Macaca fascicularis: one gene and its partners. The protein of the gene in region 1 interacts with the protein of each later gene in a pairwise test. Links are inferred from orthologs where the notes say so. Each region holds a gene or a part of one and is shown in the gene's direction. Other genes may lie near its edges.

The links.
Region 2: the proteins of HRAS (region 1) and RGL2 interact in binary tests that used the Homo sapiens proteins (3 or more experiments, as listed by UniProt). The link is inferred for Macaca fascicularis from reciprocal best matches to the Homo sapiens genes HRAS and RGL2.
Region 3: the proteins of HRAS (region 1) and PDE6D interact in a two-hybrid assay, tested with the Homo sapiens proteins (2 studies listed by BioGRID). The link is inferred for Macaca fascicularis from reciprocal best matches to the Homo sapiens genes HRAS and PDE6D.

The regions. Positions count from the first base shown.
Region 1 is NC_088388.1:433,485-437,226, reverse strand, and holds the start of HRAS (GTPase HRas), read left to right. Parts: upstream 1-927; 5' UTR 928-1,344; exon of another isoform or gene 1,345-1,360; intron 1,361-2,956; exon of another isoform or gene 2,957-3,101; intron 3,102-3,742. UniProt on the Homo sapiens protein: Involved in the activation of Ras protein signal transduction. Ras proteins bind GDP/GTP and possess intrinsic GTPase activity.
Region 2 is NC_088378.1:138,404,182-138,407,923, forward strand, and holds the start of RGL2 (ral guanine nucleotide dissociation stimulator-like 2), read left to right. Parts: upstream 1-1,235; 5' UTR 1,236-1,377; intron 1,378-1,596; 5' UTR 1,597-1,633; coding exon of another isoform or gene 1,634-1,718; coding exon 1,719-1,789; intron 1,790-2,239; exon of another isoform or gene 2,240-2,286; intron 2,287-2,873; coding exon 2,874-3,003; intron 3,004-3,101; coding exon 3,102-3,185; intron 3,186-3,433; coding exon 3,434-3,612; intron 3,613-3,742. UniProt on the Homo sapiens protein: Probable guanine nucleotide exchange factor. Putative effector of Ras and/or Rap. Associates with the GTP-bound form of Rap 1A and H-Ras in vitro.
Region 3 is NC_088386.1:127,657,530-127,661,171, reverse strand, and holds part of PDE6D (retinal rod rhodopsin-sensitive cGMP 3',5'-cyclic phosphodiesterase subunit delta), read left to right. Parts: intron 1-513; coding exon 514-639; intron 640-1,356; coding exon 1,357-1,462; intron 1,463-3,642. UniProt on the Homo sapiens protein: Promotes the release of prenylated target proteins from cellular membranes. Modulates the activity of prenylated or palmitoylated Ras family members by regulating their subcellular location.

The DNA.
Region 1 (3,742 bases):
AAGAGCCCGAGTATCAGGCTGGTCTGAGCCCCAAGGCCTAGGGGTGCAAGGACCAGGGGTTGGAGGCTGTGGAGTCCCAAGCCCCCACTGGACTCCCACCTCAGACACTGCTCCTGGTGTTCTCGCCCAGGCCTGAACCCATCCGCACACTTCGCAGTCCTGCTCCTACCCTGTGTCCCCTCTGCGAGCCCCCATGCTCCCCAAATTGGAAACTGGAGGAATTCTGTCTCCACACCCCAGCTAGTGCCATTCCCTGGTGGGTAGCTCATCACCTCTGGTCCCCTGCAGCCCTTGCCCCTTCACCATGGACGCTGGGAGGGCAGAGCCCGCTCCCCTGCTGAGCCCCACCCTGGAACTCCAAGCACCCTGGGTCCTTGCCTCTGCATCTCCCTCAGGGGCAAGGCTTGGGGCCCCTCCTGCCTCCTGACAGGGAGCCCCTTCAGTGCAGGGCCAGGGGGTGGTGGAGGCAAGGGTCCCCAGGGGACCAGATCTGACGTGCGGGGCCTCCACTGGGTCCCCGTTGGCTGTGCTGCTTAGTCCCCGCGCCCTCGCCTCGGCGCAGGCTCCCTCCTGCCACCAGGCATACGGCGAGGCCTGTGGCTCCCACCCCAAGGGTGCGCTCGGCTCTCACCTGAGGGCTCAGCCCAGGTGTCCGGCCCTGGCAGCTCGGCCCTGGGCGCCCTCCGCCGCCAGGCGCTGTCTCCTACTCCAGGCTGTTCTTCCGGCTGCGGGGTTGCGGCCTGGGTCCCATGGCAACGTGGGCGGGTCCTCATTTGAATACGCAAATATTTATAAGCCGCAGGAGGCTCGGGTTCTGAGGGGCTGAGCCACGCCCCTTAGCAACGGTCGCTAGGGCGGGGCCACGTGAGTTGGCACTTGGGTGGGCGATCCCGGGGGAGGTGACGCGCCACCAAGTCGGGTGGGCGCAGGCGCGTCAGGTGCCAGCTCCCTGCGGCTCCGTGCCCGGGCCGTCGCGGTGCACGTGTCGCGTTTCCTCGCGATCCCGGCGCTTCCCACGCGGGGCCGGCAAGGGCGGTCTCTGCTGGAGGCTCCCGCCCACCTTTCCCACGTGGAAGGGTCGCCCCTGGGGTCGAGGCCTGACGCCCTGACCTTCGATTGGAAGTGAGGCCGACAGCAAAAGGAAGCACCGGGGCAAGCGCCCCGGAGGACCAGGAAACACAGACCGGATGCCGAAGCGCGCCCGAGTGCCCGGCCCGTGGGACACGCCGCCGCCCGCCGTTCAGTCGCCGCCTCTCACCTGCGTTCATGCGCGTCCGCCCCGAGCCGGGCTCTGACTGCGACCGCGCGGTGGATGGACGGCAGGCGGGACCCCCGGGACCGCACGTGGGTGGAGCCCCGGGTCAGCGGCGACCGGCGCAGGAGGGCGTGGCGGCGGGGCGGGCACTGGGTTGGGCAGAGGCAGGGTTTGCCTGACCGTAAAACGCCTTTTTTTCTTTTAAACGCCTTTTTTTTGAGACGAAGTTGCGCTCTGTCACCCAGGCCGGAGTGCAGTGGCGCGATCTCGGCTCACCGCAACATTCGCCACCCGGGTTCCAGCGATTCTCCTGCCTCAGCCTCCTGAGTAGTTGGGCCTACAGGCTCGCGCCACTGCAGCCGACTAATTTTTTGCATTTTTAGTAGAGACGGGATTTCATCATGTTGGCCAGGCCGGTCTTGAACTCCTGACCTCAAGTAATCCACCGGCCTAGGCCTCCCAAAGTGCTGGGATTATAGGCGTGAGCCACCGCGGCCGGCCCCTTTTGCTTTTTTTTTTTTTTTTTTTTTTTTTTTTTTAGACGGAGTCTCGCTCTGCCACCCAGGCTGGAGTGCAGTGGCCGGATCTCAGCTCACTGCAAGCTCCGCCTCCCGGGTTCACGCCATTCTCCTGCCTCAGCCTCCCAAGTAGCTGGGACTACAGGCGCCCGCCACCTCGCCCGGCTAGTTTTTTGTATTTTTTAGTAGAGACGGGGTTTCACCGTGTCAGCCAGGATGGCCCTTTTGCTTTTTAATGAGAATGTATTTCTGATTCCTTTGCAATTTAAAAAAATGTTAAAAAAAAAAAAAAAAACACGTCTTTTGGGGTTTGAAAGAGCTAGGATGTGGTCTTTGTGCTTGGGGTGAGCCCTGGGCACTTCGCTCTCCTGTGGCAACCTGTAGGTACCGTTTAACTGCACCACGCTGAGCTTCTGCATGGTTGGAACCTCAAGTCTGGGGGGACTGAGCGGGCAGGGTCGCCTGCCACGCAGGCCCAAGTAAGAGAAGTGGTGGAGGGGGCGTTCTCACGCCTGGCCCCAGGGAGCACGGCTGCGCCCGCCGCTCGAAACCCCACCGGAGCTGCAAGGCGTCCTCGGGGTGGGCTGAGGTGGGAGTAGGGGAGCTGGGGTGCGTGTGGTAGGTGGGGTGCGCGGAGGAGGCGGGGTGCGCACCGTCCGGGTGCGGGGCCACTCCACCTGCGCGGAAGGGGAGCCGGGCAACCGGACCCCGCGGCCACCCGGGGGCCCCCAGCTCCGAGCGGCCCGCCTTGGTCCCGACGGATCCCAGCCTTTCCTCAGCCGGAGCCCCGGGACCTCCGCGGTGGGCGACGCCGCGCTGCGGACGCAGGGAGGGCCTCGAGTGCACGGGCGCCGCTGAGTCGGGTTCTCTCGCCGGCCTGTTCCCGGGAGAGTCCACGGCCCTGCTCGGATATGCCGCCGCAGGCCCCCAGACACCTGCTCCCTCGCCCTCCTTGAGCAACCCCGAGCTTGCCTCCGCTCGCCGGCCTAGCCCAACCCCCCGAGGCCGCGGCCCTTCTGGCTCCGCCTCCCGCGTTGCTCCCGGAAGCCCTGCCCGACCGCGGCTCCTGACAGACGGGCCGCTCAGCCAACCGGGGCGGGGCGGGGCCTGGTGTAGCGAGGCCAATGGTAGGTCGCGCAGGGCTGACGGACGGGCGCGGGGTGGGGCGTGCGCGAGCCCGGCCGAGTCTCCGCCGCCCGCTCCCTGCGCCTGCAGCCCCAGCCGCACCCGCCGCGGACGGAGCCCATGCGCGGGGAGAACCGCGCGCCCCCGCCCCCGCCCCCCCCTGGCCTCGGCCCCGGCCCCGGGGGCAGTCGCGCCACTGAGCGGTGAGTGCGGGCCGGGGTCGGCCGGGCCGCGCGCCCTCCCCGCCCCCAGGCGGCAGCCATACGCGCGGCGCGGGCCGGGGGCGCGGGACCGGCGGGCGTGAGCGGCTGCGGCGGCGGTAGTGGGTGGGTGGGGCCGGGCCGGGCCGGGCGGGGCCCCCAGGCACAGGTGAGCGGGCGTCGGGGGCTGCGGCTGGCGGGGGCGGGCTGAGGCCCCTTAGTCCCTGGGGCCTGCGGGAATCCGGGCCCCGCCCGTGGCCTCGCTCTGGGCACGGTCCTCACGCCGGCGTCCCCGGGAGCCTCGGGCCCGGCGCCCTCATAACCAGGCGCGTCTGGGCGGAGGCGGCCGCGGCCACGGCACGCCCGGGCACCCCCGATTCAGCATCACAGGTCGCGGACGAGGCCGGGGGCCTCAGCCCCAGGGCCCTTCCCCTCTCCGGGTCTCCCGCGCCGCCTCTCGGCCCCTTCCTGTGGCTCAGCCCCTGCTTCCCAGGAGCCCCTCTGTCTTTTCCAGCTTTCTGTGGCTGAAAGATGCCCCCGGTTCCCCGCCGGGGGCGCGGGGCGCTGCCCGGGTCTGCCCTCCCCTCAGCGGCGCCTAGCACGCAGTAGGCGCTCAGCAAATACTTGTCGGAGGCACCAGCGCC
Region 2 (3,742 bases), on another chromosome or scaffold:
TGGCCCACGTGTTCCCCCCACCGCCCCACACTGGAGCCACTGCCTAATTCTCCAGCCCAAGATGGTGCTCGCCAGCCCTCCTCTCAATGCTCATCACACACAGGGCTATTCCTTTCCTCCAATGAACCAACCGCCTCCCGCCCACCTCCAGTTCCCAGCCCTCTGTTCCCTTTGCCTGGTCCACCCTCGGCCTCCCTGGGTCGCAGACGAGGTCGGCCTCGTCATTCCCCGCAGACCGCCGCGCGTCCCTCTTGTGCGGTTCACCACAGTTGTATTTTAAGTGATCATGTGAGTCGTCGTTAAATGCCTGTCTCCCCGCGGATCATGGGCTCCTCGAGGACAGGGACCGGCCTGTCTGTCCACTGCTGTAACCCCGCGCCGGCATAGGGACGTAAGGCCCCACTGGAGGGCGCTCATCAAATAGCTGCTGGATATTGACGAAGGAAGCGGCGGCGCAGCTCAGGGATCTCCGAGTCAGGACTGTCGGCCAGACCGACGGGGTAACATGTCTAATGGTGTGGGAATAAAGTTGTATTCCAGTGCTTCCAAACGGGCCTCTCATTCCAACCCCCTTCCAAGCAAAATGAATATTCCAATCATCTCTGGTCCCTTCCAGTGACCTTGAACCCCTCAGAGAACGCCCCGTCGACACCGTTCGGGGTCGGGCGCCACTACTGGCGCATAAGATGCGCTCAAGCGGAGGGCACTCCAACCGCAAAGCGACGCCGAGCCAACAGGGATGCCTGCCTCGGCGCCGGAAGCCCCAAAGAGCCGAATCTGGAACCGGATGTGGCTGCTTCCTGCCCCGCCCCCTGCCGAGGGGGCGGGAACCGAGGGCCCTTCGGAAAACGCGGCCGGGATTTCGGTCAGCGGAGTTCGTGGGTTGTGGTGGGGAGCGTAATCCCGTGGGGATGGAGTGACCCGCTCTCTCTCCTCCTGAAACGCTTCCCGCGGGAGTTTTAGCCGTGTTATTGTTGGGGAAGGGAATGTCAAATTCTGCTCCTGCCTTCCCCCAGGGGCTGGAGATTGGAATCTTTATTCCAGTTCAGTGCGGAGCGACGTGGTCTCCAGAATCCCCGAGTGTAGAGGCGGAGGACAGTGGAGCTGGGGACTCGGGCGCCTGGGTCCTGGTCCCTGAGCGTCCGGCGCTCCCCTAGTCCGCGGCCCTGGCTCCTGTCCTCACTTCCTTCCCCTTTTGGCTCCTGCTCTCGGAGCGGGCGGACGCGGGGGGGAGCGGAAAGGGCGGAAGGGGCCCGGGAGCCTAGCGGGAGGGGTTCAAGGGGGTACGGAAAAGCCGGGGAGGGGACTTGGTCCGGGGCCGGAGACCGACGGCAACAGCGGCCCAGGACCCACGCTGCCCCCACCCCTCCCGAGCAGGTCAGAGCCTGAGCACCCTGCGCGTCCCCGTACTCGTGACCCCCTCCTCCCCCAACTGCACCAAGGGCCACCCTATTTCACCCTTCTGTTGCCTCCCTCCCCCAGCCTTCCTGCAGAATTCCCTTCCGGTCTTCTTGACACCCACCCACGTCCCTTCCCTGCCCGGCTCCCCCGCGCCCACCTGACTCTCCACCCCCACCCCACCCCGTCTCTCCCCAGGCGCCCCCATGGCCCGACCCCGCTGATTCACTCGGCCATGCTCCCGCGGCCCCTGCGGCTGCTTTTGGACACGAGCCCCCCAGGGGGAGTCGTACTGAGCAGCTTCCGAAGCCGGGACCCCGATGAGGGTGGGGGCCCAGGTGGCCTGGTCGTGGGCGGGGGGCAGGAGGAAGAGGAGGAGGAAGAAGAAGAGGTGAGACGCGGGTGGTGGGAGGTAGGGGTCGGATGTATTTCTGAAGTCTCCACTTTTCTCTTGTCTCTGGGTCCCTACATCTCCTCCTCCTTGCCTCAGTTATTCTCGCGCCTCCCTGGGCGTCGGCCCGTTTCTCTGCTGCGGGGAGTCCCGGCGTCTCTGTGGTTCTCTGTCAGTGTGACTCAGGACCTGCCCGCAGGAACCTGCCTGGAACTTCTGGCTGGCTGTCCCTGCGGGTCTCTGGCCCTCTGCCTCTGCCTGCCTGAGTGTGCCTACTTCTCTGAGCAGTCTTGTCTTGCCCCCTGTCTCCCTCCTTGTTTTTGTTTGGCGGGGAGGGGTTTGTTTCCACAGTAACCAGCTCCTCTGACTCTGGGATTGGGGAGGGAACCCTCAGATTTCGTGACCCCTCCTTCCCTCCCTCCCCTTTACCCCCCCCCCCCCATCCTGGGTAGAGGCAGGGAAGCCACGGTTCTGGGACCTGGAGGAATGATCCTAGGGTGGGTAGAGAGTGGTTACCTGTTTTCATTAGGGATTAATGGTGGTGGCCAGGAGCAGGATTTTAGGCCTCAGGAGGGGCCAGAATTTGGATTTGGGGCCCCGAGGCCCTGAACTCCTAGGTCCAGATCCTAAGTGAGGGCAGGTTGACTGGCAAGGCTGGTTTTTCGGGATCGGTCGGGGGAGGGACTGGGGCCACGTGACTCTCTGAGTCTACCGCCCCCCAGCCCCCATCATCCCACTTCCCCTTTTCCTTCCTGGACTGGGATTGGAGCTGCTACCTTCAGGGGTCCCTTAGGGCTGAGATAGTGGAGGCATTACCCGAGGGACCAGTGTGAAAGGGGGCCTGAGAAGGACTAAAGCTCTGGGCTGGTCTAGTCCTTGGCCGGGAGGGGCGGGGCATGCGGCAGTGCCTGAACTGAGGTTTCAGCTACTCCTAGTCTCTGCCTCTGGCTTGCTGCCTCTCGCTTCCCTCTCCTGCTCTTTGTACCCTGCTTCTCTGTCGTGTGTGGGTTCAGCTCTGGGGGGAAAGGGCTTTGGGGGTCTCCAGGATCAGGATTCCTGTACTCCATCCACGCCTCCACTACAGCCCCTTCGACTCCACCGGGGCCCTGAGGCGACTGGGGTGGGGCTGTCTGGGCCCCAGTGGGGGAGACCTGGGGTCACCAGCTCCCCCCACCCTTCCTCGCACTCGCTGGTACTATGCCCTGCCACCACAGGTGAGGGGTATAGAGGGAGAAGCAGGGCCTGGGGTGAAGGCTGAGGGCAGTGGGGGGTGATATGGAACTGTCTGACTTCCCCTTCCTTGCTCCTGCAGGCCCCTGTGTCCGTCTGGGATGAGGAGGAGGATGGTGCTGTGTTTACCATCACAAGCCGCCAATATCGACCTCTTGATCCCTTGGTGAGATCATGACTTTAGCTTCTCACCTCTGACTCTTCAGTTCGCTTCCTCTGGCTGACTTTCTGGCCAGAGTGCTAGGTTGGAGTTCTGGAGTCCTGGACTCCGCTGTATGACATAGGCCAAGACTTTTGCCCTCTCTAAATATCAGAAAAATGAGGCTGGAACATCTCCTGGGTCTGGGATTGTCCTCAGAAATCTAGGGGCAGAGTGGGAGAAAGCGTTGGTGATCATCTCTTTGTGTCCTCCAGGTCCCTATGCCTCCCCCGCGTTCCTCCCGACGGCTCCGAGCTGGCACTCTGGAGGCCCTGGTCAGACACCTACTGGATACCCGGACATCAGGGACTGATGGGACTTTCATGTCAGCCTTCCTGGCCACCCACCGGGCCTTCACCTCGACGCCTGCCTTGCTAGGACTTATGGCTGACAGGTCAGAGTCATAAGGGACCCAGGGTCGTGGAGTGTCTGTCCAGATTTCCTAAAGTTCCAACATCCCACCAAAATAGTTAAGGCCACTGGGGGTTTGGGGAAAATGGACAGATAGATCCTCTTCTTCCCCT
Region 3 (3,642 bases), on another chromosome or scaffold:
CCAAAGTGCTGGGATTACAGGTGTGAGCCACCACACCCAACCCAGTTGCTTTCTTAATGTTTCTTTCTCCCACTTCCCAAAACCCATTTTGTGCTGAAATTTTACCATTAGAACATACCCGAAGATAGAAACTGAGATCTCAACTTTTTTCTCCAAAAGAAAATTTGCGTTTTTATCTCCCTAAAGTAAAGAAGAAGTAAGGGGTTAAAATCACCAGAACAGAGTAGAGAGAAGGTACCCGTGCAGCCCCCTTCCTGATGAGAGTAGCTAGATGAGGCCCTTAGATGCACAAAACCTGGTGTTCCTTGAAGATCTAATATTTTTCAGATATGAGTGACCAATTAGAGTCCTCTGCTTTCAGCCACACAAAGTGTAGTGCACTTACCAAAGCATTATCCAAAATGTAATAAAGTGTTCTCTAAATCAGCTATAAGAAGCTCCCAGAAATTTGAAGCATCATAGTCATGTGGTTTTCATTTAGAATGGCTTCAACATTTGTTTTTCTCTTACCAGCCCGTGTTCCCAAGAAAATCCTCAAGTGCAAGGCCGTGTCTCGAGAACTCAATTTTTCTTCAACAGAACAAATGGAAAAATTCCGCCTGGAACAAAAAATTTACTTCAAAGGGCAATGCCTAGAAGGTATTCTGCTGCCTGCATGCCTGAAATCAGGGCTTAGGGGGACCAGGACAAAAGGCAACAATACCCAGTGAACTAAAGCAGTGCTTTGATAACATTCCTTTTACAACTCAGTTTGTGGTAGGATTCCTACACTCTGCAAGACTGTGAATCCCCAGTGAAAACAAACCAAAACAAAGCTGGCCACTGCAAGGGGCTTTGAGGTCTCTGACACTGGGAGCATGGATGGTGGTACCTGGTTTAGGCACTGACATTGTATTGTGATATGGTCATGGAGGAAGCTGCTATGAGCAGGGCCTAGTACAGTGCTCTACATACAGTATCATACAGATTTGACTGGCCACTCTGCATTGAATTCTCACCATGCAGTATAAGAGGGCACATAAGCCCCTTCAAGCTAGTCCAAGAGAATTGAGCTATGTATCTATGTATAGTTCACATCTAGCCTACCTCTAAGAAAATGCTGCTTATGTTGTGTCCTGGTCACTGGTCCTAGTCCTTTAGACCTCAAAGCATGAGAAGCAAGGCTTTGGTGTAGTTCAGAGGACAACCTGAGGAGCCTTCCCTGTCTTTTTTATGCCTCTGGTCTGAGAGGTTGCTGATAGCTTCCTTCGGTGGTTCTCAGGGTAGGAAGAGGCTCACTCTAGAGGAGGGAGACAAAGAGCCCTTAAACTTTATACTGGGGCACCTGCTCACCCCGGCTTTTCCTTCTTCCTTCAGAATGGTTCTTCGAGTTTGGCTTTGTGATCCCTAACTCCACAAATACCTGGCAGTCCTTGATAGAGGCAGCACCCGAGTCCCAGATGATGCCAGCAAGCGTCTTAACGTGAGTGAGCAGGTCTCAGGAAATTATGAAGTGTGTCTAGAAACAGGCATTCCAGGCAGGTGGGACTCCTGGTGCCATTGAGTGGGCAGAGAGCTCAGTTGAGAAATAGAGTAAAAGAGTATCCGAGGGCCGGGCGCGGTGGCTCACGCCTGTAATCCCAGCACTTTGGGAGGCCGAGGCGGGCGGATCACAAGGTCAGGAGATCGAGACCACGGTGAAACCCCGTCTCTACTAAAAATACAAAAAATTAGCCGGGCGCGGTTGTGGGCGCCTGTAGTCCCAGCTACTCGGGAGGCTGAGGCAGGAGAATGGCGTGAACCCGGGAGGCGGAGCTTGTAGTGAGCCGAGATCGCGCCACTGCACTCCAGCCTGGGCGACAGAGCGAGACTCCGTCTCAAAAAAAAAAAAAAAAAAAAAAAAAGAGTATCCGAGGGTGTCTAGGTTTCCAGGTTCCTGACCTTTTTCATATGAAAAAGACAGTATGATAGAGTGGAAAGAATAATTAAAAAAAAAAAAAGAAAAAAAAAAACTTTAGATTAGACCAGATTTAAATTCCTGATTCACACTGACTACCTGTGTCATCTTGGGCACTAATACACTTTATCTCTCTGAGCCTTAGTCTTTCATCTCTAAACACAGAAATTAATTCTCTCTTACAGAGGTGTAATGAAGATAAAATGCGATGGCATGGAAGGAGACTGGCATTTAATATATACCGAATCTATGTTAATTTGCTCCTATTCCTGACTACCATACTTCCAGTATCTCTGTATTTTGTTTAGATCACCTTTAACAGAATCTGGCAAAGTCCTATTAATAATTCTGTTTTCAAGGATACTTGGTTACAATTTTTTGGTGAATAGCTTACCATATTAATAGCTTTGGTTCCTGTTCAAAGAACAGTTTGTTTGTGCTTTGTCCAAAAACACTGTCAATAACTTCCCACCTCCCATTGTCTGTGGGAAAGGTGTTAGTCTCTCAAGTGTTATAGTAATAGTACCTTCTAAAGAGTTAGTCCCAGCCGGGCGCGGTGGTTCAAGCCTGTAATCCCAGCACTTTGGGAGGCTGAGACGGGCGGATCACGAGGTCAGGAGATCGAGACCATCTTGGCTAACACGGTGAAACCCCGTCTCTACTAAAAAATACAAAAAACTAGCCGGACGAGGTGGCGGCGCCTGTAGTCCCAGCTACTCGGGAGGCTGAGCCAGGAGAATGGCGGGAACCCGGGAGGCGGAGCTTGCAGTGAGCCGAGATCCGGCCACTGCACTCCAGCCTGGGCGACAGAGCGAGACTCTGTCTCAAAAAAAAAAAAAAAGAGTTAGTCCCAAATTAGCTGGGCATGGTGGCACACACCTGTAATCCCAGCTACTCAAGAGGCTGAGATAGGAGAATTGCTTGAATCAGGGAGGTGGAGGTTGCAGTGAGCCAAGATCATGCCACTGCATTCCAGCCTGGGTAACAGAGCAAGACTCTGTTTCAAAAAAAAAAAGAGTTAGTCCCACAGATAATTGTGTAATATTGGATCATCTCTTTCAACAGTTCCTTTATGAAAGCCATATTGAATTTGTTAAAAATTGAGGTTATTTACTTTTAGGTTTTTTGTTTGTTTTGGTTTTGGGTTTTATTTTATTTAAAAAAAAAAAAAAAAAAAAAAAAAAAAAAAAAAAACCAGGGTCTTGCCATGTTGCCCAGGCTGGACTCCAGCTCCTGGGCTCAAATGATCTTCCTGCCTCAGCCTCCTAAGTAGGTGAGACTACAGGCATGTGCCACTATGCCTGTCTCTACTTTTTAAGGTTTTTTTTTTTTTTTCTTTGAGACAGAGTCTCTCTCTGTTGCCCAGGCTGGAGTGCAGTGGCACAATATTGGCTCACTGCAACGTCTGCCTCCTGGGTTCAAGTGATTCTCCTGCCTCAGCCTCCTAAGTCACTGGGATTACTGGCACCCACCACCATACCCGGCTAATTTTTTGTATTTTTTAGTAGAGACGGGGTTTTGTCTTGTTGACCAGGCTAGTCTTGAGCTCCTGACCTCAGGTGATCCACTCGTCTTGGCCTCCCAAAGCGCTGAGATTACAGGCATGAGCCACCGTGCCCAGCCCCTTTTTAAGTTTTTAATAGTTTTTTTGCCGGGCGCGGTGGCTCACGCCTGTAATCCCAGCACTTTGGGAGGCCGAGGCGGGC